Linked DNA regions of Struthio camelus. The protein of the gene in region 3 interacts with the protein of the main gene of each other region in a pairwise test. Links are inferred from orthologs where the notes say so. Each region holds a gene or a part of one and is shown on either strand. Other genes may lie near its edges. The genes, in order: ECPAS, tyrosine-protein phosphatase non-receptor type 9, AGTRAP and PDHX.

Region 1 (6,891 bases), on a different chromosome or scaffold from region 3:
GTTTCCCCACCTGCTTCCCTCCCCCCTGATTCCTTTAATCAATTTTTTTGATTAAAATCAGGGAAATGAATTCTTTCAATGCCTGGCTTTACTAAGGTAGATAGCTCACTGTTTTTCCTTCTCTTTATCCAAAAAAAAAAAAAATCTGCTCTCAGTTCAGCTGAGTTCAGTTCCATTTCGTGTGTACAGCTCCTTCTCTCCACCTTTACGCAGGATAAAGATTTAGCTCCCTATGCCATTTATAGATGTTCTGCGTAGCATGTCAGTCATTCTGCACTGACCTCTCAGCAATGCTCATTTGTGTAATTGAGTACCACATATAAAATTCACCTTTCTTTTTATGCAAACAGACTCAAGAACTATGAGGGTGGGACATGGCACGCTAACTGTATCTCATAATTTAAATAATTGACACGGGAATATTCTAAGAACTCTAGAGGGACTCTGAGCCCTTAGTAAAACACAGCAGAGGGTGGGACAGCAAAATTCAGTGCATGCAATGGGAATTTATTTTCAGTTCCCCTGGAAACTAAATTCTATTTGACAGAAGAATTGCAGGACTGCTACATTAAACTATTTCCAGAAGTCCGCTTCATAAAAACAACCAACCAACCCCTTTCCCTAACCCTCTCCAATCGTGTGCAAAGAACCATCATTTTGCCCTAGCAGCCCCAACACTTTCTCCAGCAGATCCTATACCAAACAAAGAGTACTGGATACAGCAGTGTTTCAGCTTCACCACCTGGACGACAGGATACGCATTAAAGCAAAAGCTCAAATATAGATTTCAGTCCCTCCTGAGCTAAGCAATTTTTTCTGCTCTGTTCCGGTTGCAGAAGAAAGGATAAAGTTAGGAAATCAAATTGACTTTTATTTATTGGCCCACTACTAAAATAGGAGTTAAATTCTTGTTCAAAAGTTATTAGACTTTGGGATAAACTCTATCTAGTACGACTGCAGCAGCAGACAGGGAGTTAAGATTTGCTGGTGATATCCCTGGTTCTACTAGTAATTCATTATGTGCCTATATGCAAATCATTTAAGGGAGCCTTTACAGAAGAAGGCTAATCATCAGGTTATTCTGCAAGATCTGAGGGGGAAGCCTGGTGGGGGAGAAGTATTTTTCTTTTTTCATCCTCTTCTTCCTTTATCCTGTTCTCCCATTTTACACAAAAGCTAATATAAAAGTTTGAGCAGCATACTGAAATCGAAACTTTTCACAGTATGTCAGATTTAGGATCTCCATTCAAATGGCTGACTACACCCACTGAAGATTACTTTCCATTCCTTTGCATCTGAACTCTTAAAGCTTTAGGGCAAATCTGCTGAACTAGCATTCTCTTCTAAGCTGCCAAACCTTCAATTTTACAGTGCTTTCAAATAAGTTTTCCTCTAAGCGGTAAGCATCCTCATAGGGAGTTTAAGCAGACAGCAAAAAGCTTATCTTTTTGACTGGAGCTACAGACCAAAGCTTCCTATAGCAACGTACACATAAAAAAAAAAAAAAGGGAAAACTAGTGTTCCAATTTAAAATTAGTAATAATTATTATTGTTATTTTGGCAATACGCCTCATCCTAAAGAGGATCAAGCTTATTTTAAAATATGATACAATTTGATTATTTAACAGTTATCAAACAAAGGACAGTAGGTCCACATGGAAGTTGTTCAGTCATGCACTCCTTTACCTGAACTACTTTTTCCATTAGCTTTAATTATTACCTGAAGTTACAGAACCTTCCACTCATTGACAGAGGCAGCGCTAGGAAAAAGCTTTCCTCTCCCTTCAAAAAAAAAAATTTCTTTTTTCCTAACCATTTGAATAAAAACTCCTCTGATCTGAAGTATGGCTGCATACAGCGTGTATAGACACAGCGGACAGCTAACCAGGATGATGTACTCAATAATTCAACAGGAATCTCAACCTCCGGTCATTCTTCCCTTCGGAGCAGTTTAACATAAACGGCTATACAGCAAGAGAGACATGGTTGAGAGCTGATTTTTCGCCACGTCAGATGTGGAGGCTGGGAAGCTAGACGCCACACAGATAAACGTCGAGGACCGGTTTCACCCAGTGGAAACACGTCCGCTTCGAGAAAGCGACAGGAGAGTTTCCTGGATCGCAGCAGGCCTGAGGCCCTGTCGTGGTCACGACTGCAGCGTATCCCAGTTGGCAGCGGAATAAACAGCTTGGGATTTGCGTCCTCAGATTTAAGGACCGAGGTAGGTCATCCCGCCTCGAGACGCTGTGTTTCTGGTGTGACAAGGGACATCCTTCCCCCCCGCCCCAGCGTGCCCGCACCCGAGCTCCTGTCACACCTGACCCGAAGAGCAGAACAAGCGCGTCACCCTGGGGGACGTCAGCAGAAAACAGCAGCAGCAGGCTGCGCGCCGCGCAGCAACGCCTGGGGGCTGACACACGCTCAAAACGGTCGCCGGAGGTGAAGGCCCGAAGGGATAACGCTGCGCTCAGCTGCCAAACCCGCTCCTTCAAAACCGCCACAGGTCCCTTCGCTCGGCTGCCTCGTGCATCCCCTAACTATGCAATCCCCCCCTCCCACCCGCAACCCCGCGCCCTCATCGAAAAACCAGCTCTGCTACGTGACAGGAGAGGCAGCCAGAGCAAAAAACAGCTCTTGAAAACGCCACACGCCACTCCTCCGCAGGCCCGTCCGCCGCCCCTCCCGGCCCCAGGCGGCCGAGCAGCCCCGAAGGGCGACCCAGCGCCCGCACCCGTCCCGGCGGCGGGAGACGAGGTGGGGGGGGGTCACAGCCGACATGACGCCCCGACCCCCCCCCCCCCCAAGCAGCCGCCGCGCCCCCAGCGGCGCCGCCAACGGCCGCGGGCGGCCGCCACTCACTGAGCTCGTCCTGGGCCGCCGCAGCCATGTTGCCCGGCGGGGCAGGCAGGCAGCAGGCGGCGGCCGCGGGAGGAGGAAGGGCCGCTGAGCGGCCGCCGACGGGCCGCTGCGGGGGGAGGCCCCGGGCCGCGCTCCCTCCTCCTCCTCCTCCCTCCTGTGACTCCCCGGCGCCAACCACCACGAGGGGCCGCGGGGGCCCCGGCCGCCGCCGCCGCCGCCGCCGCCCGCTCCCGCCCGCCCGCCAGCTCCGCTCCGCTCGGGGCGGCGGCCCCCGCCCGCCCTGGCCCCCGTCGCGCCCGGGCCGCGCCGAGAGCACTGACCCGAGTCCATGCTGACCTCCATGACGGCCCCGGCGCTGCTCCGCGGCGCTCACGAAGGAGCTGGAGGAGGAGGAGGAAGAGGGCTGAGCGAAGCAGCGCGGCTGACTCTGCCCCCCCCCGTCTGCGGGAGCGGCTCCCAGCAGCCTCAGCACGGCCCGGCCGCTGCGCTGCGCTGCGCTCAGAGCCGGCAGCCTGCGCGGCCCTGCCCACCGCATGGCAGGGGCCGGGGGGCGGCCACAGCCCTGCAGAGGGGCACGGCCCTGCAGGGGGACACGGCCATTAAGTGGGGCACGGCCCTGCAGGGGGACACGGCCGTGCAGCAGGACACGGCCCTGCATGGGGGCACAGCCCTGCAGGGGGACACGGCCATTAAGTGGGGCACAGCCGTGCAGGGGGACACGGCCCTGCAGGGGGGCATGGCCCTGCAGGGGGACACGGTCGTGCAGGGGGACACGGCCCTGCAGTGGGGCGCGGCCGTGCAGGGGGGCACGGCCCTGCAGGGGGGCATGGCCCTGCAGGGGGACAGGGCCGTGCAGGGGGACATGGCCCTGCAGAGGGGCACGGCCTTGCAGGGGGGCACGGCCCTGCAGCGGGATATGGCTCTGCAGTGGGGCACGGCCATGCAGGGGAACACGGCCCTGCAGGGGGACACGGCCCTGCAGCAAGACCTGGCCCTGCAGGGGGGCACGGCCCTGCAGGGGGGTACAGCCCTGCAGGGAGACACGGCCCTGCAGCGGGGCACAGCCAGGCCTGCAGCATGGCTCAGCCCTGTAGCGTGGCACAGCCTTGCCAGGCGTGTGGCACAGCCTGCAGGGTGGCACAGCCCTGGCTGCAGTGGGGCACAACCCTGCCTTGCCAGATGTGTGGCACAGCTCAACCTGAAACACAGCACAGTCCTTTCCACAACGGACCCCTGCTTGCTGGGCTTGTGGCATAGACCTGCCTGCAGCCTTGCTGTGCTGCACCAGAAAGGTGCCGCAGCATGGCACAGCCCTGCGGGGAGCAGAGCAGAGCTTCTCCATGGGTAGTGACTCTAGATGTGAAATATATGATTTTTTTATTATCATAATACCAGAGGCAGATAGAAATGTGCTTTCACTTGCCACAGACTTCAATATACATTTACTCACTTACTGCGAGGTTTTAAACATATCCTACCCATAGCTCACACGATATTGGCTAAAGAACTAGCCACGAGAAACATGAAAATTGCCACAAGATGTCAGTGTCGTACAATATATAGATGATGTCCTAACAAGTGGCCATGCTGCAGAATCTGTAAAACAGGCCATGGACACTGTTACAAACACATCTTTGGGGAAGAGGTGCTGAAAGGAAAGAAGCACAGTCTCAATCAGGAAGGCACCTTTTTAGGAGTCAGAAGGATAGGTGGGAGAAGAACAGTCCACACTGAAGCGCTGCAAGAAATCCAACAGTTACCATCCCTGAGAATAAGGAGGAGAGTTACTAGCGACTTCAGGAATTTCAAGGGTGCATGTTCTGTGATTTAGTATAATAGCCCAACCACTCTATAACTGAGTAAAGAAAAATGCAATACGGATCCCACAACACGGACATGGCTATGGACTTTTTAAGGAAAACGTTAAGTGTATCTCCATCATTGGGACCCATCCACCCCCATGTGGCCCCTCCTATTACATATCCAAGTGGAGAAAGGATATTGGTGGGGACTACGGCAACAAGGTCCTCCCAGTTCCAAGGAATGCCCATTGAATACACAGAGCCGCCACGCTCTCCTATCTTGGATGCCCATGAATTCAACCCCCTTTGACCAGATAGTGTCTGCTTCACTGATGGAAGCACTTGCAAAATGCAGGGTAAATGGCAAGGAATGGCTGACGCTATATGCCAATAAGTGAACAGTGACTGAGCAAACAGAAGGTTCTGCTGAGTTAGCTGAGCTCTCCGCTGTGGTGCTGGCTCTCAGAAATAGCGCACACACTATACACACTGATTCTTTTGCTGTTTGGGCTGGTGCAACACAATGGCTAGCAATTTGGGCAAAACGCAGTTAGCAGAAAGGTCTTTGAGATGGTTGGGGAAGGGAATATTGGGAACAAATACATAGTGTCACTAACTCGTGTTCTACGATTATAGGGTGTGTAGCAGCACACCAGAAAAATTGCACTCTGCTGGCCAAACTGAACAATATGGCTGCCCACTTAAATGCAGCAGGTTTTCCTTCTACCTTGAGAACTGAATGGTGAGGTAAATGGCTGTGTGCACAGCTGGGACACACGGGAGCATATAACCTCTGTCAGCATGCAGCAAGGTGGGGCTGGCTGATTACTAAGCAACAAACAATTCATACAGTGAAAACTTGTGGATTTGGTAATGAAATGAAGGATTATCTTGTCCAAAGTCAACAACAAGCAAACCTTAGGGAAGAAAAAGTCATTTGGGGTACTTGACAAATAGACTGCATTGGACCTGTGATATGTATCTCCAAGGGGTGGAAACTTATTATGATGAGTGTTAAAGTAGTGAGCAGTTCGGGCAATGTTTACCTACACGCACACTGCATCCAGATTGGTGGCTATAGTAGGATGAAACTGGCGGTTTGCTATGCACCCAATGCCACAGAGTCAGATAATGGGTTGCATTTTAAATAGTACAAGAATGGTCTCTCAAGCATGGAGTTAAGTGGACTTTCCATTTACTCCACAGTCCCTTAAATTAATAGTATAGTAAGTAGCAGGATAGAACAGGTTACTTAAAGAACAACTCACGTGGGTTTAACAGTGCTACCAATTGACGATAAAACTTGTGGGAGGCCATGAGAGCCTTAAACTCTCACCATACACCTAGTGGTAGTCTGGTATACAAACGTTTTGAATAGTCCTCTGCATTGAATCAACACCATCCGAGTGCCTTGGACAGCTCAGGTGAGATCGGGTGAGAATTCAACAGCCATCATTCAGAAATTGCTGGGCTACTTTACAACACCTTTAAGGGAAAGGAGCATGGGAAACTATAGACACTTTGGAAGTGAAATTAATCATTACCGAGGCTTGGCTATGATCCAAGACCTAAGTCTTCTTTTTCCCTCCCCAGGAACTACTGACCTCCTGGACGAGTGAGTGAAAGTCATCATTTGACCTACGTACTATGGAAAGTGTCCACAAGGCACAGCCCTGCCTGCAACATGGCACAACTCCATCATCAGTGAACCCTGCCACCCACCTCTGCAGCTGCAGCTTCCTTGGACCCCACTCTGTGATCATCTGTTTGAACTGCACATTGAGACCACAGAGCCACTGCTGCCCAGGAATGACTGCTGGGGATGGCCACATGAGCACACCTTCTCAGGCATCTGCCTCTGATTCTTAGGTAGCTACGGGTTAAGACAGACTGCAAGCAAACATTTAGGAATCTCTCCCCTCTCCCCCTGCCCGTTCTCTTTTTTGGGGATACAGTTGTTATTGCTGAAGTATTATATTCTCCAAAGAAATAAATCTGTATCCTAAGCCACTTTAAATATAAGTTTTGGGGCTGCTGTTACCTGAAGCCTAGGACTGAGGGAGAAAGGGCGTGACCAACACACACCATCTTCTTCAGACCTGATCAGTACCAAATTTAATCACTTTAAGGAATGTATTGACAAGTCTCTAAAACAGGATATCTCTGGAGTATAACTTACAGCAGAAAGTGCAGTGCCTATTTGCCACTTTTTTTAATGCTGACTGCAGAT
Region 2 (7,681 bases), on a different chromosome or scaffold from region 3:
GTCCCCGTCCTCCTCCCCGCGCTGCTCCCACCCGCAGCCCCCTCGACTGCCTGGGGCCATCGCAGGGGGCAGGGGCCGTGGAGCCGCCCCCAGCAAGCACCAGGCTGGGGCCGACCCTCCGAGGGAGACGGACGCGCTCCCCGGAGAGCGTGGCAGCCCTCTTACCTTTCTGGAGGTGGATGATGTCCGGGAAGTTGGAGAGGAGCCCCTGGTACAAAGAGAGAGTGTCCAGCATGAGGAACAGGTCGTTCTTGGGCTGCTCAGCAAACATCTCCCCCACGGTCTCGTACGTCTTGCCCGTGTGGGAGATGGCGTTGTTGAGGGCGTCTGAGCTGTACGGGGGGTCCATGTGGAAGGAGTAGCTGATGGCTTGGAAAGCATTGCCGAGCTTCTGGAACTCCTTGCGGAAACCCCCCACGTGCTTGCGCACCAGCTCCGAGGCCACGTTGGTCAGCTGCAGGACGCTGTCGTCCATCTTCTTGCTGAAAGCCTTGAAGGCATCCACACGGTCCTCCACGTCCTGCAGGTCCTGGTGCTCCGTGGGGATCTGGAGGGTGAGCAGGAAGCTGGCCCCCACCATCTCGTCCTTCTCTGCCCGCCGTTTGCCCAGCTTCCACTGCTTCTCATCGCGGCAGCAGAGGAAGTGCTGGAAGCCCTCATACTGGGAGAGGACGGGGTGGCTGGTCATGTGGTCCATCCACAAGATCAGCCGCCGTTTGCGCTTCTCAATGAAGTCCTCCTCAAAGCGGCCGGTGGCCTGCTTCTCAGGCAGGTGGGGCACCGAGATCACCGTGAACTTGTGCAGGAGGCGGTTGTACAGCCAGTCAAAGTGCTTGTACCGCCGGTAGACGGGAGAGTTGATGTTGCTGGGGGTCAGCTTGTAGGAGATGTAGCTCTTGATGCCTTTGAATTTGGTTTGCTTGGTTGGGTCCTCCACGGAGCAGATGAAGGGGTGGGGATTCGCCCGCCACTGGGGGCCTTTGGAGCCCATCTCAATGCAGTACACCTCTGCGATCTTGGACATCAGAGGCACATCGCCCAGGATGAAGGCTTCCACCCCAGAGCGGACGAAGCAGGAGAAGCGGTTGAGGTTCCTCCCCACCACGCTGCCCCTCTTGGAGGAGCTCATGCTGTCCTGCCTCTCCAGCGCCGGCTTGGGGCGGTAGCCGGCGTGCTGGTGCGAGTAAGCCGTGGGGTACTGCAGCGTGGGCGAAGGGTGCCCATTGGTGCCTGGAGTGCTCCGAGGCTCCTCCACCACTGTGCAGGCATCATCCCAGTCATCCCAGTCGTCGTCATCGTCGTCCTCAAAACTGCCCTGGTAGGAGACACTGGGGTTGGTCGGAGCCACGTAGAAGGAGGAGTCGTGCCCAGGGGAGCCGGCGGGGCTGTGAGAATAGTCCGTATAATTGGAGCCTGACCTGGACCGGAGGATTTCGACATAGGAGGCAGGGAAGAGGCCTGTCTCTCCGCGGCTGTTTTTACCCTGTAACCACCCATCCAGGGAGTTCTCGCTGAAGATCACGAGCTCCTCGTTCTCCTGGATGCTGATTTCCTCTTTGTTTTCGCTCTGGAAATTGTAAAGTGCTCTGGCTTTCAACGCCATGGCCGTTCCCAGGGGGACGGTGTAACTCAATCCCCGCAGCAAAAAAACAACAACAACAAAAAAAACAATAAACCAACAACAATACCTCCAGATAGTCCAAGGGTCGCTGCTAGACCCAGCCGTCACGCACTTCAGTGGCTTGGGACCTGCTACCGAGCTGTGGGAAAAGGCTTAGCCGATTTCACACAGAAATAAAAAAGATATAAATCCTCTAACATCTGACACCAAGGTCTGTACATTCAAGTAACTCCAGCGATCTAAGTGCACCAATTTAAGAAAACATTCCTTGGGCAACCAAAAAACATGTTTCGTTCCACTCCCTCCTTCTACGTGATATAAACCTCGGCCGGACAAACAGACATCCCGAAGTCTGCCATTTCCCCGGAGCTTTTATCTTGCTGGGTCGTTGGTCCCGCCGCCGTCTTGGTTTTAACTTACGTTAAGAAAAGATCTTGATCCAAATTAGGAAATCCAAAGTGACTTTCACAGGACTCTTCTTCGAGATCCGTGTTTAAAATACACAAATTCACTTCCCAGCGAGGAAATCCAGCGCAGCTCGGAGTCAGCGGGCGCCTGGAAATCGCCGGGAAGCAAACCCAAACACAACACAACCTCCCGGTGATCCCAGCACAAGTATTTTGCAATTCCTTTCCGGGAGGCCTTTTTTTTTTTTTTTTCTCACGAAATCCGCAGACCTCTAGTGGGACGGACGGACGGACGGACGGACGGACGGGCGGGCGGGCGGGCGCAGAAGGAAAAGGGGGAGCAGCGAGCCCAGCCCGGCCGGGGCAGCTGGCGGCGCCGGTCCCGCCGCCGCCGCGGTCTCCGCCGCCCGGTGCCCGGTGCGCGCTGCGCGGCCGCTGCGGAGCGGGGACGGCGGGCCGCGGGGCCGCCCTCAGCGCATGGCCGGGCACGGGCTCCCGGGGCCCCGCCGCCGCCGCCGCCGCCGCCGCCGCCGCCGCCGCCGCCGCCGCCGCCGCCGCCGCCCGGGCTGCGCTGCCGCTGCCCGGTGTCGGTGCCGCTTCTGCTGCCGCTGCCCGTCGCCCGCTGCCGCTGCCGGTGCCGGTGCCGGGCTCGCCGCAGCCCGCCGTGCCGTGCGGCAGCGCCCAGCTCCCCGGTTTGCGGCCCGGCGGCGGCGGGCAGGGCCCGGCAGGTCGCACGCTGCCCTCTGCAGGCGCCGGCCCGGCGGGGCCCCGCCGCCGCCGCCCCCGCCGCCGCCGCCGCCGCCGCCGCCCCGGCCTCCCCGGCCCGGCGCCCCCGGCCCGCATGGCCCCGACGTCCCCGCCCCCGGGGTCCCGGTGCCCCTGTCCCACATGTCCCCAACATCCCGTCCCCGGGGTCCCAGCACCCCTCTCCCAGATATCCCCAACGTCCCTGCCTTGGGGTCCCAGTGCCCCTGGCCCGCATGTCCTGCATGTCCCTGCCCCGGGGTCCTGGTGCCCCTGGCCCACATGTCCCTAACGTCCTTGCCCCCAGGGTCCCAGCACCCCTGTCCCACATGTCCCCAATGTCCCCGTCCCCGGGGTCCCAGCACCCCTGTCCCACATGTCCCCAACGTCCCCGTCCCCGGGGTCCCAGCACCCCTGTCCCAGATATCCCCAACGTCCCTGCCTTGGGGTCCCAGTGCCCCTGGCCTGCATGTCCTGCATGTCCCTGCCCCGGGGTCCTGGTGCCCCTGTCCCACATGTCCCCAACGTCCCTGCCCCGGGGTCCTGGTGCCCCTGTCCCACATGTCCCCAACGTCCCTGCCCCCGGGGTCCTGGCGCCCCTGTCCCGCATGTCCCCAACATCCCCGCCCCCGGGGTCCTGGTGCCCCTGTCCCGCATGTCCCCAACATCCCCACCCCCGGGGTCCCAGCACCCCTGTCCCACATGTCCCCAACATCCCCACCCCCGGGGTCCCAGCACCCCTGTCCCGCATGTCCCCAACGTCCCCGCCCCCGGGGTCCTGGCGCCCCTGTCCCGCATGTCCCCAATGTCCCTGCCGTTTCCCAGCGCCATCGTCCTCCCCTTCCCACTTTGCAGGCAGCCTTCCCCATCCGCACCCGCGGGGGGTGTCTGCCGTGGGGCGCTGGGCCTGCCCCCCACTCGTCCTTGTGCCATGGGCTGCCCGGCACTGCCTGCTTCCCAGAGCCACCGTCCCACGCCCGACCGGAGGGCCCGCGGGGGCACTGGCGGTGGTGGCTGCCCCGAAGGCACCCAGGGGGCACCCACAGCACGTCCCCCCCCGGGCCAGGGCCAGGGCCCGGGGGCAGGTAGCGTGTCATGGGGCAGGCAGGGCGCTAAGGGACGGCGCTACGGGGCAGTGCTGTGGGGCAGAGCTTTGGGGCCAGCGGGGTGTCAAGGGGTAGTGCTAGGGGGCAGGCAGGGTGCTATGGGGTGATGTTATGGGGCCGGCAAGGTGCTGTGGGGGGATGGCGGCACGATGGGCAGTTCTGTGGGGCCAACAGAGCGATGTGGGGCTGACGACTGCGCTGTGGGGCAGGCAGGGCCCCGTGGGGCCGGCGGGGGCCGAGGGCAGCGCTGTGGGGTCGGCGGGGCTCCGTGGGGCCGGCGGGGGCCGCGGGCAGCGCTGTGGGGCCGGCGGGGCTCCGTGGGGCTGGCGGGGGCCGCGGGCGGCGCTGTGGGGCAGGCAAAGCCCCATGGGGCAGGCAGAGAGAGGCCATAGGCAGCACTGTGGGGCAGGCAGGGCCCTGTGGGGCCGGCGGGGCCCCGTGGGGCTGGCGGGGGCCGCGGGCGGCGCTGTGGGGCGGGCGGGGCCCCGTGGGGCAGGCAGAGAGAGGCCATAGGCAGCACTGTGGGGCAGGCAGGGCCCCGTGGGGCCGGCGGGGCCCCGTGGGGCCGCGGGCGGCGCTGCGCGTATGATGATGGCGGCGCTGGGGCTGATGGCGGAGCCGGCAGGGGGCGGGGCGGGGCCGGCAGGGGGCGGGGCCGGCAGGGGGCGGGGCGGGGCTGTGCGCGCCCCCGCGCGGCCTGACCCGCCACATCCTGCCCGGTGCCGCCTGTCCCTCGGCGGGCGGCGGCGCGGCCGGAAGTGCGTCAGGCGCGCGGGCGGAAGGGGCGGGCGGCGGCGCGGGCAGTGCGCGTGCGCGGGCCGGCGTTGCCATGGAGGAGCTGAGCGAGGCGCTGGCGGCCCGCGTCGCCGTCTCGGCGGCGCCCAACAGCCCGGCGGCGCCGCACCCCCGCTTCGCCGCCTACAAGGCCCGCGGCCGCGGCCTGGGGCAGGCCGAGCGCCGCCAGCGCCTCCTCCGCCTCCAGCGAGCGTAAGGGCCCGCCGGGGCCGCGCCGCGGGCAGGGGGGCGGCCGGGCCGGGCCTGGGCCGCGGCCGGGCGGCGGGGGCGAGCCCGTCCCTCCGTCCGTCCGTCCCGCGGCTCACGGGGGCGGGGGGCGGTTGCGGGGACTGCGCCTCCTCCCGCCCTCCCTAGCGGCGGAGGGGTAGCCAGCCCCTAAGGAGCGCGGAGGGGCAGGGAAGTGCCCGGCCGCCTGCCGCGGAGGCAAAGCAGGACTGTTTTCTCCTCGGCAGGAGGCGGCTCGACTACGTGAACCATGCCAGGAGGCTGGCAGAGGATGACTGGGCAGGAGTCGAGAGCGAGGAGGAAGAGGAGGCGGAGGAAGGTGCGAATGAGGAGGAGATGGAGGTGGATGTTCCTCGGAAGCTGCCCAAGCGCTATGCCAATCAGGTGAGGAGCTGTCCCCATCCCTGTGACAGGGTGGGGATGGGGCTGCGGTGCTGAGCAAGGTGACGAACGTGGCGAGGTTAACGTTGTGGGGGGTCGCGGTGAATATATTCCTGTCTGGCGTGCTCTAGGTGATGGGTGTGTTGGGGCTGAGAGCAGTGTGTCCTAGCTGGGTGCTCAGTGCAGAACCACTACTCATCTCTCTTTCCTCTGAGACGTGCTGTCTTCAAATGGAGGACAGGCTGAGATGGATTGGCTGGGTTCCTTGCGAGATTTCAGCTCTGCTAGAGACACTTATGTCCCACTGTGCAATACTTGATTAAAGATTCTATCTCTCCTCCCATCAGGTACAGCTGGAGAGGAAGGGAAACCTCAACTGATGGGTGTTTTTAGCCTTGGCACTATATTGGTTCTAAAAGACCTACAGCCTCCCAGGTGATCATAGCCAGGAAATCTCAGGGGTCTGAAGAGGCTCACTTGTCTAGTCCCTTTACTCCTTTATTTAGCAATCTCTAAGGTCTGCTGCATATTTAAAATAATAATTAAAAAACAACAACAACAACAAAGGGCTGAAGCGAGGCTGGAAAAGGGATTAAGGTACTGGGATGCAAAAGTGAGTACTGTGGGTCTTGTGCTGTACTCTGAATTTCAGCTGGCAGCTGGGAAGTAAGAGAAAGGCTTGGGGGAAGAGTTTGTTTTGCAGGTTGGTTAGAAGGAGCCATGCTCCTATGGTGCTGTATTGCAGGGTGATGAGCAATACACATTGCCTCTGTGGCACCCAGTATAAACCAAGTCAAAACCTTCTTGCTTTGTTCTTGAGCTGTGAGTTTTCCATAACTTCAGGAGAGCTGTTACTAACTGCCTTTTTGGGGGGGTTTCTCCTCAGCTGATGCTGTCTGAGTGGCTGGTAGATGTCCCTTTGGATCTGGAGCAAGAGTGGGTTGTAGTGGTGTGCCCCACAGGGAGAAGGGCACTGGTTGTGGCATCCAAGGTAAGAGAGAGCAGTGGTGAAGTCTCACCACCTGGTAAAGGACCTGTATGTGTCTGTTACGTCATCATGCCAACATGACATGAAACCAAAGGCTGGCCTGTGTGTCTTGCCTGCCTTGTGCTGTGGGAGCCGTGTGGGGCTGAAACTCTCCTTGAACTGAAAGAATTTGGGCGCTGAGAGATGTGGTAGTAACAGAGCCGTATCTAATGGTGAGTACTGCTCTCCTCTGACAGGCTGCTTGGAGGTGGTTGTAACGGAGACCTGGGTTTCAAAGCCTTGGGTGCAGTCAGACGTGTGGCATGAGAGCAGGGAGACTGGCCTTGACTTTTCTCTCTCCCACTTCCTTGCAGGGCTCAACAGCAGCTTACACCAAGAGTGGCTTCTGTGTCAACAGGTTCCCGTCCCTGCTGCCGGGTGGGAACCGGCACAATTCGCTAAATGAGAAAGGTAATGATCTGAAGAGGCCATTGAAATAGATGAAGGAGAACAAGCCTGCTTCTCCGTGTGTGTGTGTGTGTCTGCCTGCATGACAGGCTCAGTGCTGCTCCTCCAGCTCCCGCAGGCCCAGCAGAGCTGTACCCTTTTCTGGTGCCAGGGATTATTAGCTTCAGCCCTGTTCGTGAATCTGTGGGGATAACTAGACATGGACGATCTCGGACACCTTTATGCTACACAAGAACAACTTTTTATCAGCTGCCTGCTCACCTGATGCTCTTAAACCTCAGCATCTTCCTCCCTTTTAAGTACCAGAGCTGTGTACAGTATCTTTCCAGTGACCCCTTGGTGCTGATGTTTCTCAAGTTAAAGGGTGTAGCTTTTCTTGCTAAGAAGGAGGATGGCCTTTCTCAATATCCCATACAGTTGCATTGCTTGCCCTGAGGAGGGTTTATCAATGGATAGGTGCCTTATTCTGAAATGTGCTTTTGATTGAAGTTCTTGAGCTTGCGGGGCTCTTAAAGCTAAGCTTTTTGTGGTCATGCCTTCTGTTCAGCAGAAGGGAGTCTCTGCCTGTCTCAGGCTTCCATCAGTGCTAGGGTTTAATGCAGGAGAGATTTGATCTAATTAAATTGCCTTTTGGGTTTGGTAGTATCTGGAGCGTGTCTGGATCTCCCTGTGTCTGTGTGCAGTTTACAGCATCTTGGACTGCATCTACAATGAGGCGCAGCAGACGTACTATATCCTGGATGTGATGTGCTGGAGAGGACACCCTGTTTACGACTGCCAGGTACTGAATCCCTCCCGTGTGCCCTGGTCTCTTTTTTGTCACCTGTTCTGTGAGCCGCTCTGCAGCCGGAGCTGGATGCAGCCCATTGTGCAGAAGGATGAATCTTTCATCTAAATGCCAGCATCTTTACAGCTTGTGGGCCAGCGGTTACTGGAATAACTGGGCAAACCTTTTGGGGATGCCAGG
Region 3 (7,943 bases):
TGATTAAAAGCATCCCATTGGAAACTGAGGAGAGCTGAAGGGAATTCCTGGCTCCTCCACAAATCCCAGCATGTGATGGAACTAATTGGCAAGCATAAAAGACACTTGGTCTGTCTGGTTCCGGTTGGATGGGAAATTCTTTGGAATGGGACCTCCCTCTTTCAAACATGCCTCAGCACAGAACCTTCAAGCATAAGGTTGAATTTTGCCCAAATTAAAATGCCATGATTCCAAATGACAATTCTTTTCTTTTATTATCTGCCTCTTTCTTGCAAGTGAGCTCATCTACTCTATGAATTGCTTACATTCATCTGAGGATGCACTAACCCAAAAATAGATCCGAGTGGCCACTTGTGAGTGAACTCCTTAGGTCCTCTCATTATTATCCCATAGTGCACAGTTTCATACCCAGACTAACCACAACCTGAAGGATGTTTGTTGAGCACACTGAGCCAGATTCTTCTTAGAGATGCCCAAAGAAAGAACAAGAGGCAAAAAAAAAAGCAGTTACAGCAAGGGAAATTTCAGCTGGATACAAGGATAAAATTCATAATGAGAGTGGTTAGGCACTGGAACAGGCTATCCAGGGAAGTTGTAGAGGCTCTGTCCTTGGAGATGTTTAAAACTGAGCTAAATTTTGAGTTGAGCAATTTGATCTAACTCAGAAGTTAGCTTTGCTTGGAGCAGGAGGCTGACCTAGATGACAAGCAAAGCTAACTTCTGAGTTTGCTGACTATTACTACGCGAGCTGAGCCAGTAGATGTTCTTCCATGAGAATGTTCCTCATCTGCTCCAGGAAAAAGCCTGCTACATCAATTTTTTAGTTCTGCGTGTAGCCTGAAGAGAGGCCTTAAGGCTAAGACATTGCTGTGTTCTGGCACAAACACAGCTCAGTCATACCGTTTTCTTGGAGCTACTTCTATCATGAGGCTTATCTTTCTAATCTCTCAGAAACTCTAAGCAGATCATTCTGATGAATAGCAGTGGTGTGTGTTGTTTTCAGTCCCTTTCTGAATAAGGCCCTTCCCCATCTTGGCGATCTGTTTCAGAGAAGCAGCCCCCAACTCAGGGACAAGACAAAGATGCAGGTACAATTATTAACCCACTACTCCCTAGCCCTCAGACCAGTACCAGCAGACTTTAAAACAAGGAATTGCTTAATGCTGAAAACCATTTGCCCAGGACAAGTTTGCTCTTATCTAGGAAGAGATTTGGGACTGGTTATATGAAACCAGAGGAAAAGCAACATTTTGGTTATGTTGTCATGGTGGCTCCTTCATTCAAGAAGTATGTCTGTATTTCAGCTCCCGTGTCTCTGTCTCCCGTGGTGAATCATTTATTTCATTGGTAAACCTTTTAATTAGATGTCCTTGCTTTTCACTGTTGTTTTAGCATAGAAAAAAAAAAAACTGAAACAAGTTATAAACAAAGCAGAAAACAAGATCTTTTAATCTTCCTAGTGCCCAGGGAATCACCCAATAGTCCAAATTTCCCAGAGCAAAATATCAGTTGGTTTCCAGAATGCAATATAATCTACATGCCAAGCCTTGAAAAATCCATTTGCTTACTTGCCCCAGGAAAATTGCTTTTCTTGGTGACCTAGTAAGAGTGTAAAGCCATGAATATATGAACTCCAAACTTTCATTTTGAACAGCCACATTAAAGTCTTGTTATACAAAGTTGAATTCTTAAGGGTAGCTGAGACAGTACTGCTCTCCCCACCTGTAGGCAGCCAGCTCCAAGGCCACTGCTCACAGCTTTATGAATCAATAGCAGAAAAAAAAGAAAAGAAAAAAAAAAAAACCCCACAGATGAGATCAGCAATGCTTTCAGTCTTCGTTTGGTCAAAGTTATAACCAAAGAAAGCCCCTGAAACTTGCCGCACCAAGCAACACATGTAAACTAGGGAACCTGGAAAAAGGCACGTACACATCTAGAAGTCTCAGAGCTCTGAAAATATGGTAGAAGGAGGAAAAAAAGGAGGAAATTTTCTTCTGAGTGGTATCAGGGAAGGCTTCAATTTCAAACAGCAACATGAAAAGCAAAAAAAAAAGATTTTCGCCTCCCCTAGCTTATGGATAAGGATGTACTTCTTGCCAAAGTGAAAAGTCTAATATACCTTTGAGAAGTCCCTTATTTTCCATGCCTTTGGTTAACAGATATCCAGTGAAAAATTCAAATTACCTCCGTTCCCTGCCCCCCAAAAGAAACCAGAAAAGCAATTTCAGTTATCTACCAGAGGATAACCCCGAAGCAAATGGGATCATCTTTCCAAGATATCTTGCCTGACAAGCAAAAGCTTTGCCTCCTCAGGATCTTGTGTAGTGTTTATCCTAGATTAACCCCGGTCAGCTGAGCTAGGAACCTCTGTGGACACAAGTTAGTTCAGTTGTTGTCGTCCCAACCCAGTCCTTGGCCACTTTAGCAAACTGCCCTGAAGCAAAAGTGAACCTTGGGGTCACTGCCTGACAGTCTTAATGACTAAGAGTTTTTGCAACGTTTACCCTGGTGATGAAAAAGATTTAGAAGTACCAGTTATTCCTCCACACGGAGACTTCCACTTCTCCTGACCGAGCCTGAAGCGGGCACAAAGCTGGCCATCGGCCAGGCAGGCCGGGCCATGGCCCGCTCTCCGGGGACGCCAACCAGCTCCCTAGTCCTCCCATTCGAGGACTTCAACCGAGACCCTCGCAGCCCTCCCCGCTCCTCACTGCGGAGCCCTCCGCCGGCCCTCGGCCCGCCCTGGGCACCTCCCGGGCGTGCAGGGCTCGGAGACGCGGGACGCGGCGCGGGCAGACCGCCCCTCGGCCGGGGCGACCCTGCCCCGCGGGGGGCAGCCGGCACTGGCTCTGCCCAACGCCCCCGCGACCCCTACCTTGAGGCTGACAGCAGGCAGCTCCATGGCAGCGGCCCGCCCGCTCGCCCCGTGACTCCCAGCGGCGGGGCCGCCTCACGTGGGGCTGGGCCGGGCCCCGCCGCCGCCACGGGCTGGTCTCGGGCCGCCCAGGGGAGGGCAGAGGGGCGGGAGGAGCCGGGACGGCGCCTCGCCTCGCCTCGCCCGACGGGGGCGTCCGTCAGCATCCGGCCGACCCCAGGCCCACTGCAGGCCCTCTAGACTTCCCCTGCGGGGGGCTCCCTGGGCCCTGGCGGCCCTTCCTCACGTCAGGAGGATGGCAGGCCGAGGCCCTGCCATGAACTGTGCCCTCTGCCCCGGCCAGCGAAATGGGACCTCTCAGTCGCCCCTTGCACACCCTCAGCTGAGATACTGCCATCCCCAGCGCTATCTGGTGCGACAGCCCTTTAGCAGTAATAAAAGTTTGGGTTTGAAAGTGAAGATGTGGTGTGAGAGCGGGACTGGGCCCTGCAGGGCACTCCAAGGACAGCAGTGATGTTTCCATGCCCTGCTTTGTGCATTGTCTGTTATTGATGTTGCCCGAAAAGCTTCCAGAGTAGGCCACCTTCACTTGCAAGCCAAACATGAATATGCATTTGGGCTATGCTGTAGTGTCCATAGGAGTTTAAAATGTCCAGTTTCTCCTGACTGCTTCACCTCACCTCAGAGCTGTCATGCAGTTTGAGGAAGGTGTCTGAGGAGCAGGAGCCTTAACTGAATTAGCCTGAGACTCGGCAAAACCAGGACATTTCCAGTAAAGAGACAGCAAGTTTCATTAATCATGAAGGCATTTAATAAATACATCAGATGCTCTCATCTCAGCAGAATGTGTGGCAAAGGGCATACTTAAGTATTCCAGGGACACTATGACTCTGCAGGCTTTTCACATGTAAAACTGTACTGCTGTTAACACTAGTAGTCAGGGAAAGTCCGTGGTGCTCATACCTTAAGGAATCTAGGACAATCGAAACAGTAGAAAACAGGGACGTTTTCCCAGGACATCCTATTTCATTAAATTTATTTGCTGCTATCTGATACGTATTGCACAGCACCTGCAACACCGAGGAGAAAAAGCCATCACTAGGTTAGAAGGGTAATGGGATCACTTTGTTTGTTAACGCCAAACATCCAAGCAAACAGCTCTTGCTACTTACAGAAGCAGTGCAGCTGTGGGAAGGTGTAACAGCATATTTGGGCTGTAGTCAGGGTCCCAAAAGGCTAAAGTGTATTTAGTGCTTAGCAGCTTTCTGGAGGAAAAGAAAGCTCTTGTGCACACATCAGTAGTGTGACCAAAAGACAGTAAGTGTGGGGAGTGGAAAAGAGGTCTTAAACACTACCACCACCAAAAAAAAAATTGCAAGATGTTTGTTGCACTCAGCTGTATCATACAACAAAGCAGCCATGTTCAACTCAATTTGATTGTCCTTTGGGGTTGAGTGCTTGAGTCTCTAGCCCTGTGGCTAGAATGGCTAGCAGATACTTAGTTGCATCCCTTGGCCCTTTTGATTTTTCCCTAGAACTAGATCACTGAATTCTTTCCTAATGCAATTTCCTCCTCCTGCAACTTCAAAGCAGAACAGTCTATGCCAAGAGGATTTGGGGAGTGGGGAGGATTACACTAAGGTGTGCTCTTGACAGACACGCTTGAAAGTCCTTTCTGATCCCAATAAGGGAGAGCTGCCTCGTACAAAACAGGCATTCTTCCATTGTCATTCTGAAAGAAGACTATTCCCATTTTAGAATTCCTGCCCAGTTCATAGTACCATTCTTTTCCCCAGGTATGACAAAGGAACTAATAACACCAAGAAGCCGGGCTGACTCCTTTTCAAACCCTGCCTTCCTTGCCCAGTGTATACTTTACCTGTCTGCCGTGTCCATCCACAATGCATTACTGGATCAGGTGCTTTCTTGTCGTCATTCAGGTGTGCTCATTATTTATTCTAGCAGAAAAGATGGGGCCACTGAGGAATGAGCAAGGAGTCAGAAGTTCATTGCAGAGGCTGAATATGTGAATCATCGTTCAATCCCATTTCTAGTTCAAGCAGTGCAGTGCAAGATTATGCATATGAGTGATGCAATGCTGAACCTGTGTTCACAGTTCATCAGGCAAAGCACGAATGTAGCTCTATCCAGGCTGTCCTTCACTGCATACTGAGTCCCATTGACTGCTAATACACAGCACACTGAGATTTCCCAAGACAAAGTACTAAATGGCAAACTGAATCAACTCAGAAAATGGTAACCAGAAGTGCCAGAAGAGAACTGATTAGCTGCATAGCAGCTAAACAGCAGGAAAAAAAAGCTGTAAAAGTGCACCCAAAATCTCTAGTTGTACCACTTTACCAGATGAAAGACTGAAAAATAATTCATCTATTGCCACATCCCCCAATAGCTGTGACTTTCTTTCCATTTCTGTACCTTGCAGGGAAGCCCTGCCTCCACTCACAGAAGTAGTGGTGTCAAATGGGATCAATAATAATGCTCCCAGTGATGCCAAGGACTGTATTTTACCCTAAATGGCAAAAAGAAGTTGTGGCACCTAAAAAAAAGATAAAGAGAGACTTTGAATAGCCTTATTGCTGCCTCAATGCTTGGGTGAAAACAGCAATAGGAATGCCCTTCCACCAGGACAGGTATCTAGCAAAGGAATAATGTTGTTATAAAGACAAATTCCACTGTCATGCTGCAGCCTAGTTTAAGTATAAGCACTGTTTAGATGCAGCAGTAAGTGGGCGTCTTTGCTCCTTTCAACGTGTTCACTCAGTCTGAGTGAGACAGAGAGTCTCATTATCATTTATACAGCGCGAGCCATAATTTGGATTGATGTGACTGCTGTTTAATGCAAAGCATTCGTTTCCCCTTGTACAATAAAAGCACTTTACTTCATTTTGTTCATCAATGTATTGTGCAATTAATTCAGCCCTGCTTATTATATCCTGGGCTTGCATGTCGTGGACTCGAGGGACTCAGAAGTGTCTTCATGATCTCATGGATATGAAAACAATGAGAACTGTGACAGACATTATGCATTTGCACGTCTCTCACACCTATCTGATCGGGGGGATTTATTGTTTTTTATCTCTGCTTTGCTTTGCTTGTACCTTGTAAATTGTCTGTCTGTGTAATCTGCTGCCTCTTTCCCTTCCCTAGGCTTGATAATTCAGAGCAACATAAATATGGTGCGAAAGACAAGCAGCGAGATAAAGAAGAAGACCTGCAGCGAGAAATAGATGACCCAGGAGACTGGAAAGACGATATGGAGATTTTCCTGAGTAGCAGACTTGTCAAGTGAGTTCAGCTGAGTACAACTAATATAATATCCATTGTATAGCTGGTTCGTCAAGTATATTGGTGATATGCCTTCTGCAGGGTGGGTAAAAACCTATTACACAGCTGGCTCCCTTCGTGACAGCATAAAAAGGAGGCAAAGAAGGCAGAAGTGCTTTCCTTTGTGTCTTCAGGACACTGTAGTTTTGATGTACAAAGTTACAGCAGTTCTGTAGGGCAGCAGCAGAGCTGATACAGTTGCCCCTGCTGTCCCTATCTGGCCTGTGGAGATTGAGACAAGCTCACCCCTCATAGTTCTGCCCTTCTTGTCCCTCACTCAGGCTCTAATCTGAAGGTAACTGAAGACTGCCGATGACACTGGTATCTTTGAGTTGTGCCCTTGTCTCGAGAGCTGAGAGCAATGAAGGCACTCGCCCTGCACAAATGCGTGTATTATCTATAGAGCCTTTCTGAATAAGAAGCGAGGAAGGACATACAGAAGTTGTCCTGGCTCTGCAAACTCTCTCTGAGATCCCAGTGGGAAATCAGCAAGCAGAAACATTATCATTAGGACTGGAGGGGAAAGTGAAGGCATTTTGTAATGCTGGTGGGGAACCTCCTCCTGCAGCTTCACTGCAGAACAGTCTATGGCAAGATGATTTGAGGAGTGGGGAGGGTTACACTAAGGTGTGATCTTGACAAACATGAAAGTCTTTTCTGATATCATCAGGGAAGAGCTGCTCTTCTGATTTTCTAAAATCTAACTAGAGCTTTGAGAGGTAATTGAGGGACTACTTTTCAAGATTTGCTGGCGCTCTAGAAAATGAATTGAGATAGCAGAAATGGGTTTTAGGGGTGCATGTGATCACTCAGAACATTCCAAGAAAACAACAGCCCTCGTTGTTTCTGATAAAACACATGAACAGCAATGTTTTCTCCAGGCTTTATGCAGTAGAAACTCTGACTGGCATGGACTGGAACAATTTATTATAGCATGGGTTTGAAACTGAAGCACTTCTCCACACTGTGGATTGACAACAGGGTAATTAGCTGGGGGGGGGGGGAGGAGAGACAGTTTCAGTAAGACAACCCCCAAGCTAAAATGAATGCAGACTATTACAGACCTGAGACAGAGTGATTCCCAAGTGTTTTAATTTGTGCTTCCCCTCCTTATCTTGCTTGCACTCATCATTTTGGCAACTGCCAGCAATATTCCTGAGATTCAGCTGCATTCACAGAGCAGGCAGCTGCTGAGATAATTATGTCAAATCAGCACGCTGTCCTCTCGTTTCCATGTCTAATGACTCTCACCCTTGGAGAAGTGGCTCAGAACGATGCATGCCCTTTGGATTTATTGTGAGGCTGCTAACAGCAGTGACTCCAGAGCAGGAGTTTGGGTGGGGCTCGGTCACTCACCTTACTTATGTGCATGCCCTGTAATTAACTCTCAGAATTATTCCACAGAGCCCTGCTGTAGCTGGTTTGGGCCTGATCCAAAGTCCTTTCAAGACAATAGAAAACCTTGCAAAAGCTCTGGATTAAGCTCTCTGGGGACAGCAGAGAAGCTGAGCTTGTGTGGATGCTTAATTTCATGAGAGTTTCTCCAACAATCATTTGAGAAGAACATACAAATCAGGACTTGCATGACATTGATCTCCCTCTCTCTTATTCAGAGCTAAGGCCTCTAAAGGCAGAACTATCTGTCACTGACTGCACTGCAACTGGGAGATAGTGGGAAGGAAGGGTAAAGTTGCTAAATGCAACCCAGTGATAGTATCACTCT
Region 4 (7,206 bases), on a different chromosome or scaffold from region 3:
GTATGTGACAGAAATCAGCAATTACGCAGAACATAGTACCCCTCTTATATTGCTTTCATGAAAAGTTGCTGAATTTCTGCTTAGAAAAGCTAGTTTGGAAAAAACTCTTATGACATCAAATACAGTCCCCTACTATTGCAGACAACTCTCAAATAATTCTTTGTATATATGTATCAAGCCTGATCAATACTCCCATCTTCAGCTTAGAGTGTAGTACCATATTCTTCGGTGACACTTGTTTCTGAAGCTACTATCTCTGAAGAACTGACGTTCACTGCAGATGTTATTTCTAACTATTCTGATTTTGTTTCTACTCTTTAGGGTCTCTTTTAATAATACGAAATAATCACCTGTTGATTCATTCCAAAAGTCAGAAACAAGACTCTAAGCAGCATTCCTAGAAATCTATGCAAGAAGCTAGATTTTTAAAGCACCATAAACCTGTACTAATTCACATTACTTAAAACAAATGAAATGCTACACACAATAGTACATGAAAAAGAAAAAATCCAAAACAAAAAACAGGTGAAATAAACAGATTTCTAAATTCAGAGTGAAAACATTCTGAGCCTCCTCCCCATTCACACAGCTGAAAATGAAACCACTCCTTTTCAGTTCTCCTTCACTGAAGGAGTAATATTCTGGCTAGCTAAATGTTCCTCAAATACTAATGCCTCTGAAATGTACTGTGATTCTGAGAATATTAGTGCATGTATCTTATGTTTACAAATATGAAAAAGTGCATAGTGTGTGTAAATTATAGGTCCCCACTTTGTGGTTCAAATTTATTTATACAGAATTATTATTTTATAAATTTGCCTGCTATAAAAATTATGAATCCCACAATATCTTGTTTTGTCTTTTATTTAAAATAACATCACTGTGTATTTCTAACTTATGTACTACACTGATACTTTTCATTTCAAAGAAAATTATCTCCCTTCTACTTTTGATGGAATAAACTCATGTTAAATAGTTTTACATGGCTATTGTTTATTGAATGTATATAGATATGAAAAAGCTATATTATGACATTCCTCCAGTTCTTTCATATTTTCCCTCACTGGTGATTCTGGACAATAATTAATGCGAGAAGATGATTGCTTTTAATCACTTTAAAATCATTACAAAGGTTTTTTTTTACAGTTCAAATTCAGAAGCTGCTTTCATCAAAAGCATACAAAACCCACATATTATTAAGGAGTTCCAACTATTTTTATGAAGAATCCCAGGATTATAAATCAACCCTCAGTATTTAACAGTACTCTTCCAGGATCAGCAGATACTACTCATAACCACAACCTATTTATTTAACATGTTTTAAAATAACTAAAGAGGCTATTTCCTGGAATAGGCTTAGGAGCGAATACATATAAAAGCAGCTGGCAAATCAACAGGATTATTCTTTGCCAAATCTCAATTAGAAAATCAATTAAAAAATGAGTGCAAGTTAAAATGCAGATGCCATTGGTTTTCTCTCTCTTTATACCTCTAACTCAGGATCTGGCCCACTAGTTCTCTGATACAGCCAATATGAACAATTTAGCTGGCTTTTACGATTTTCATCTAATTTTTCCACATTAGGTATTAAGGAAAACTTCACAAATTTCCATGAGCTTAAAAAAAAAAAAAAAAAGACTGCTTTTTCCAGCTATCAAATTATTCTTCTGAAAAACAAGTTTGCTGATAAATTTCAAAAGAGTAACTGACTGAAAGCATTCACTTAAAATTCATATTTTTGGTGTCAAAGTCAAATCTTTTGATAAAATTATTATTGCTTTTTTACAGAAAGACTGTCATTATTCAAAGAAAACTGTTTTTCCCCTTTTTTATTCAAGTGCATACACCTAATACTACAAAACCTAAAATAACAGTAACAATACAGTGTGAAACTGATGTAATGGAAATCAAGGTGGACCCAGGCTATTTGCAGAATGAGCCCATTTGCAAGACTTTTAGAGATAGTTTTCAACAAGATATGAAACTGAACTACAATATAGTTGTACTGTTTAAGATATTATGGTAAATAAACAGTGCCTTTAAATACGTACCTCCCCTTCACAAAGTGCTTAGAAATACATTTTCTGAGAAATAAGCATAGACTACATAGATGAAATCATACAGTTCTTATTTCACACTAACCTGTGAGGTTTCTTTTGAATAGCTACACACTGAAAAGTTTGATGTGGTAAAAATGAATGGTTCTGCACTATATATTTGAAGTGAGAAAGGTACCATTAATAAGCTGGTAGATTACTATTTAAAATCTGTACATGGCACAGAAAGGGATGAAGTAACAAAAGCAGTAAAAATAATGATCCTTTAAGAACGTCTGTTTTCTGCAATGCCTTCAACACCATATAAAGATTTTACAATTCAGAAAGGACTTTTAAAGGTAAGAAAAAAAGAAATAATTGTAAGGGAGGGACAGGAAAACAGTGTGGTCAGGATTCCTACACCATGTAAAAGCCTCAGACTATAAACTTTCACAGCAAGTATAGACCTCCAATTGAAAATTATCACTTGTTGTGTGCCTTTTTTCCTTTAAAGTTTTATTTGTTACAGCAATTAAAACCTTTAATACTTTTTAAATATAACAAGTGATTAGCAGCTGTGCTGCTCAGCTTAGTCATTTGTATCCACGAAACGGTATTTCCTAGAGAAATATGTTGAGCAGCAGGATCCCACGTTAAGGGGGCACTCACAGAGTATGAAAAACAAAAGCAACAAATAGCTAGCAAATAACAAAACTGGTAAGAAGGTTATTACTGACTATCGATAGTCTTTCTGAAACATAAAGGAAAAAAATGCTGTTGTCATTCTTCTCTACCTCCCCCTCCCCGGGAACTTCACTGACTCTAAAGCTGAAGATTACCGAGCAGTTCTCGAGCGTCTAAAGTAAGAGCTTAAGACTTTAAAGGGGCGCTGGGATTTTGTGGCCCCTGAAGGATCGTTCTTCCTGGTCTTTGGAAGCCCAGCAGAGAGAGGCGAGCATTTAGGCCAGCCTCCCTGAAGGGGCGGACAGCTCGCATCCTGCCGCACCTGCTACGGAGGGCTGCTGGCTGCGCAGAAACGCTTCCCGTCGGTGCCGGACTCGCACACCCCAAAGCGAGGAGGCTGCGCCGGCCGGCTGGGAGCAGCAGCCAAGGGTGCGAAACGGTGCGGCGGTGCTGAGGAAGGGGACAGGGAAGGTGGAGTCACAGAGAGAACAGTCTGGCGCAGGTCTGAGAAGGTTTGGAAACTCCCATTGTAGCCTATTCAAAATAGGACAACGTCACCGTGACAGGCAGTGACGAACTCCTCAGACAATCCGTCTCACTGTCCTAAATTAGAATATTTTCCTATTGCCTAACCTAAACCTTGCTTGCTGACACTTCAGCTCGTTATCTCTTCTCCAAATAACTATGGACATAAAGAAGAGCTTCTTCCCTTTCCTCTCTGTGACAGTATTTCACCTACTGGGAAAATAACTCCACTTACTCCTCAGTTTCTGTTTTCTTTTCCTGACTGAACCGATCCTTTCGCTCTTTCCTAGCAAGCCGTGCTTTGATAATTCTCATGGCTAACGGCAAAGGCTGCAAAAACACTCTCAGCCACGGCGACCACCAACCGCTGCTCTGGAGCGCCCGCTGACCCGAGGGGGATGCGGCGGCAGCACGGCTCGGCGCGGCGGGGCCGGCAGGGCACCCGCCCCCCCCCACCAACGGCCGCGCCCGCCCTCTCGTTACCTGCGCGCTGTCGCGGCCGTTGGCGGCGGCCATAGCGCCCGCCTGGGGTCCTCTCTCGGGGCTTGCGCTGCGGGGCCGGGAGGCCGCGCGGGCGCCTGCCGAGCGCGTCCCTGCCGCTGCCCCTGGCTGCGGGGCACCGGCCGGCGCAGGCCGTAACGCGCGGCGTTCAGCCCGGCGGGGCTGACCGGGACGGAGAGGGTCTCGGCGCCTCGCCTCCAGGCGGGCGGCGGGGGAGAGGCCTGCGGGGGGGCGGGCGGCTGCGCGCAGCTGGGGCGCTAAGAGCGGTCAGGAGCCAGGCGGCGGGTGGCGGAGCGCTCGCGGCCGGCGCTGGTGGGGGGCAGCCCGGCTCGCCGCTGTGCCGGCCGCCAGGCGGGCCGGAGCGGGGCGCGCTTGCGAGCGCGTCCGGCCGAGGCGGGCCCGACCGGCCGCGCTTTCCGCTCAGGCAGCGAGTGGGGCAGCCCCGGCGGCGCAGGGGGGCCGGGCCGGGCCGGGCCGCGAAGGGAAGCAAGATGGCGGCCTCCTTGTGGCTGGGCGGTGGGGGAAGGGGGGTGATGCGGCTGCTGCTGGGCAGGCGGCCGGCTCTGGGCGCTGGCGCCTCTCGCCCCGCTCGAGGAGGCTGGAGGTTCCTGCACGGGACCTACGAGCTGCGGGGTGAGTGTCTGGGCTGGGCCCTGCGCCGTTGGCCTGCTGCAGGCCTGAGGGGGGAGGGTCGGTGGTGCTGGGGGGCCGGGGCTGCTGGAGGAGAGGGCCGCCTTCGGCAAAGAGGTGTAGGGCGGCAGGGCCGAGTGGGCCTGGTGGTGTAGTGAGCAGAGAAAACTAGCAGCGAAGTCCTGTTGGAAAAGAGGGAAGAGGCTGTGGAAATGGGATAGCTTGGCAGGGTGCTGCTTGGCCTAGCCTCTGGAGGTACAAGCACAAGGGCGTTTTGCTGATTATCTGGTAAGCGTTGCTCTGGTTTTTGATGAAAAAAATTGCTAGTTTTTCAACTATTACGGTTTTTTCCTGCTGTATAGCTCCCAAATTCTGTTTTTAGTGTTTTGCTCTCTGTCCCCAGCTTCATACTCTTCCTTCTTTGTCCTTCCTCTCCCAGAGGGTGAAGTTGAGTATAGAAGTCCCCCAAAAACATACCGTGCATGTTAAGGGGTCAAATTAGCATTTAACACTGAAATGCTATTTTGCTTCATTGTCAAAGCAGGCTTCTTGACACTAAGACCAGGTGAAGGCTGCCACACTCAGGTTCTCTGTTAGTTTGGTGGCCCAATCTAAAGGGTACCACCTTTGTAATCTGCTGGGAATAATTCCCTTCTTATTGGCAAAGTTAGGTTTATTGTCTGTTTCTACAGAATGCAAGCTTAGGTATTATTTTAAATAATTTATTTTCCAATTATCTTAGGAGCCCGGACAAATATTTCCATATGACATCTAGGACAACAGGATTAAAGACTATAGCATCTAGGCTTTAAAAAAAATTGAGTAATTTTTAGAAAAAGATACTACTTTTTTTACTCTAACTGATGTGAAAAATCATGTGGAAAAGGAGGACTTCATGTAATAGAAGAAGAAAAGAAAACATAAGAAATGGTCAATTTGGAAGAAGTTATAACTCATCAGTAATTTTGAAAGGAAGCAAGCAAGCAAACAAAAAGCAGAAACCCTGGTCAAATTACTAGGAGGAATAAAATCGAAAAGGTGACAGCACAGAATGATGTAATTCTTGTCTGGTAGATGCAGTAAAGAAATATTTTATAAATAAATTAGTACAAGAGAGAAGAGTTAGTTTGTTATACAAGGAAACGTACACAAGATCAAAGTCTTTCCTTTTTCAATTAAACCGTTACAAAAAGGTTACACCAATGCCCAAAACTATTGGTCGGTGCTAGACTAGGTGAAGGGAGAAGGTTATTCGGTTAAGTCAGATGTCATTTAGGCAGGTGAGTATTGTGTCAGATGGTAGTTGAGCAATTTTGAACGACAAAGCTGAAGCTGCTCTGTTCTTTTCCACTATCTTATAATAAAAGAAAGAAGGAATTATATGCAAGTCTTCTCCAGTGAAGAGAAGAATCTTTTCAGAGATTGCAGTTAACCAACGAACCAGACTTGTAAGCACTGAGAAGGCCTATCAAAACCTTTTTTTATCAGACCAGTCTGACAGCCTTTTGTACTGGGGCACCGCGTTGTCTGTTTGGGAAAGATTGATTTTTCATAGGGCTTTGGCATTGTCTCCTACATACTTCTCATAAACAGGCTATAGAAACATGGCCTCAAGGAGTCTCTGTAGGGTTGCTCAAAGTGGTTGGGAAGGCAAGGAATAATTATAGTTCACTGTAAAACTGGAAAGATGTATTGCATGAGGTCCATCAGGGACCTCATGTCTGGAATTGGGTTTTAATTGCCATTTTTGTTAGAAGCCTAAATAATGGAATGAATACTTCCCTTCCATTTGAGATGCATCTGAGATGGGAGAGATTGCAAATGTATTTTGAGGACAGGATTAGACTTTAAATTGATCATAGCAAATTAGGTAGAACAGCCTGAGAAAAGTAGTGTGCAAAGCATAGAAAGAAATGCCTGTTACAGGATAGGACATGACAGTCATAATGTTGCAAGGGAGATCTGGGTTTTACAGTAGATTGTAAATTAAGCACAAGCCTGTATCATCATCATGCTGCAAAAATTATATTGGGTTGGAAAAGCTAGGAGTGTCATGTAGGGGACATGTGGTAGTCTTCTTTCCACTCTACTTTGTACTCGGAATGCCTCAAACAAAATTTTTCCTCAGCTGCCTGTTTGGGAAGTATCCAAGAAAGATATGGGCTGCTTGGACAGAATTCAGACAGAGGAGCGAGAATTATGAGGGGTCAAGAAAATGTCATCAGTGAGGAAAAACTGAAGTAGTTGGAGTCCAGAGGGTAAAAAAGATTGATGGGAGAATAAATCTTCAAATGTAAAAAATATTCTGTTGAGGATAAGGCCAAGAAAAAAAAAAAGGATGTTTATGACTGAGAACAGTTGATTACTTTCTTAATTGTAAGTATAGTTAAGCACGTAAGTAGAAGGAGGCAGCCTAAATTAAGGGTTTTTTTTTTTTTTCCAGTGCTTGGAGATTCTCCATCATCTTTTTCTTCTACCAGTGATGCTTCAAGTAGTTGGAGAAGGATTCAGAGGCTTTATTTCATGTATTTTTTGCCTGTTTGTTTTAAATGGAGAAAAGGAATTTAAATTTATTCATTGCATGCTTAGAAAACTACATAGAAGTCAACCTATGGGGTCAGGGCAACATCCTTTCAAGGTACCATTTTTTATTCCCAGGAGTTTGTTTTTAGAAAATTGCTAGGCAGATCATCTCCTTGCATATTTTCCTCTCTCTCAAAGAGTTATGGGAAGAATTTTGGATGCCAGGTGAGATTTGAGCCTTTCTTCCCCAACTCCATTTGCTGTTACAACTTGTAAAACATTAAACAACATTCTGGTGCATTTCTTG

Evidence for each region.
Region 1: the proteins of AGTRAP (region 3) and ECPAS interact in binary tests that used the Homo sapiens proteins (3 or more experiments, as listed by UniProt). The two-hybrid records come from large-scale screens. The link is inferred for Struthio camelus from reciprocal best matches to the Homo sapiens genes AGTRAP and ECPAS.
Region 2: the proteins of AGTRAP (region 3) and tyrosine-protein phosphatase non-receptor type 9 interact in binary tests that used the Homo sapiens proteins (3 or more experiments, as listed by UniProt). The two-hybrid records come from large-scale screens. The link is inferred for Struthio camelus from reciprocal best matches to the Homo sapiens genes AGTRAP and PTPN9.
Region 4: the proteins of AGTRAP (region 3) and PDHX interact in binary tests that used the Homo sapiens proteins (3 or more experiments, as listed by UniProt). The two-hybrid records come from large-scale screens. The link is inferred for Struthio camelus from reciprocal best matches to the Homo sapiens genes AGTRAP and PDHX.

Annotation. Positions count from the first base shown.
Region 1 is NC_090982.1:17,228,114-17,235,004, reverse strand, and holds the start of ECPAS (proteasome adapter and scaffold protein ECM29), read right to left. Parts: upstream 3,012-6,891; 5' UTR 2,888-3,011; coding exon 2,860-2,887; intron 1-2,859. UniProt on the Homo sapiens protein: Adapter/scaffolding protein that binds to the 26S proteasome, motor proteins and other compartment specific proteins. May couple the proteasome to different compartments including endosome, endoplasmic reticulum and centrosome.
Region 2 is NC_090953.1:23,095,383-23,103,063, forward strand, and holds the start of tyrosine-protein phosphatase non-receptor type 9, read left to right. Parts: upstream 1-4,664; 5' UTR 4,665-4,707; coding exon 4,708-4,865; intron 4,866-5,125; coding exon 5,126-5,282; intron 5,283-5,626; exon of another isoform or gene 5,627-6,165; coding exon 6,166-6,270; intron 6,271-6,620; coding exon 6,621-6,717; intron 6,718-7,397; coding exon 7,398-7,495; intron 7,496-7,681. Other genes in the region: SNX33 (sorting nexin-33), read right to left, coding at 166-1,603. UniProt on the Homo sapiens protein: Protein-tyrosine phosphatase that could participate in the transfer of hydrophobic ligands or in functions of the Golgi apparatus.
Region 3 is NC_090962.1:6,801,487-6,809,429, reverse strand, and holds the start of AGTRAP (type-1 angiotensin II receptor-associated protein), read right to left. Parts: upstream 3,016-7,943; 5' UTR 2,903-3,015; coding exon 2,876-2,902; intron 1-2,875. UniProt on the Homo sapiens protein: Appears to be a negative regulator of type-1 angiotensin II receptor-mediated signaling by regulating receptor internalization as well as mechanism of receptor desensitization such as phosphorylation.
Region 4 is NC_090946.1:34,125,972-34,133,177, forward strand, and holds the start of PDHX (pyruvate dehydrogenase protein X component, mitochondrial), read left to right. Parts: upstream 1-4,205; 5' UTR 4,206-4,237; coding exon 4,238-4,379; intron 4,380-4,450; exon of another isoform or gene 4,451-4,664; intron 4,665-6,819; exon of another isoform or gene 6,820-7,014; intron 7,015-7,206. Other genes in the region: APIP (methylthioribulose-1-phosphate dehydratase), read right to left, coding at 3,729-3,761.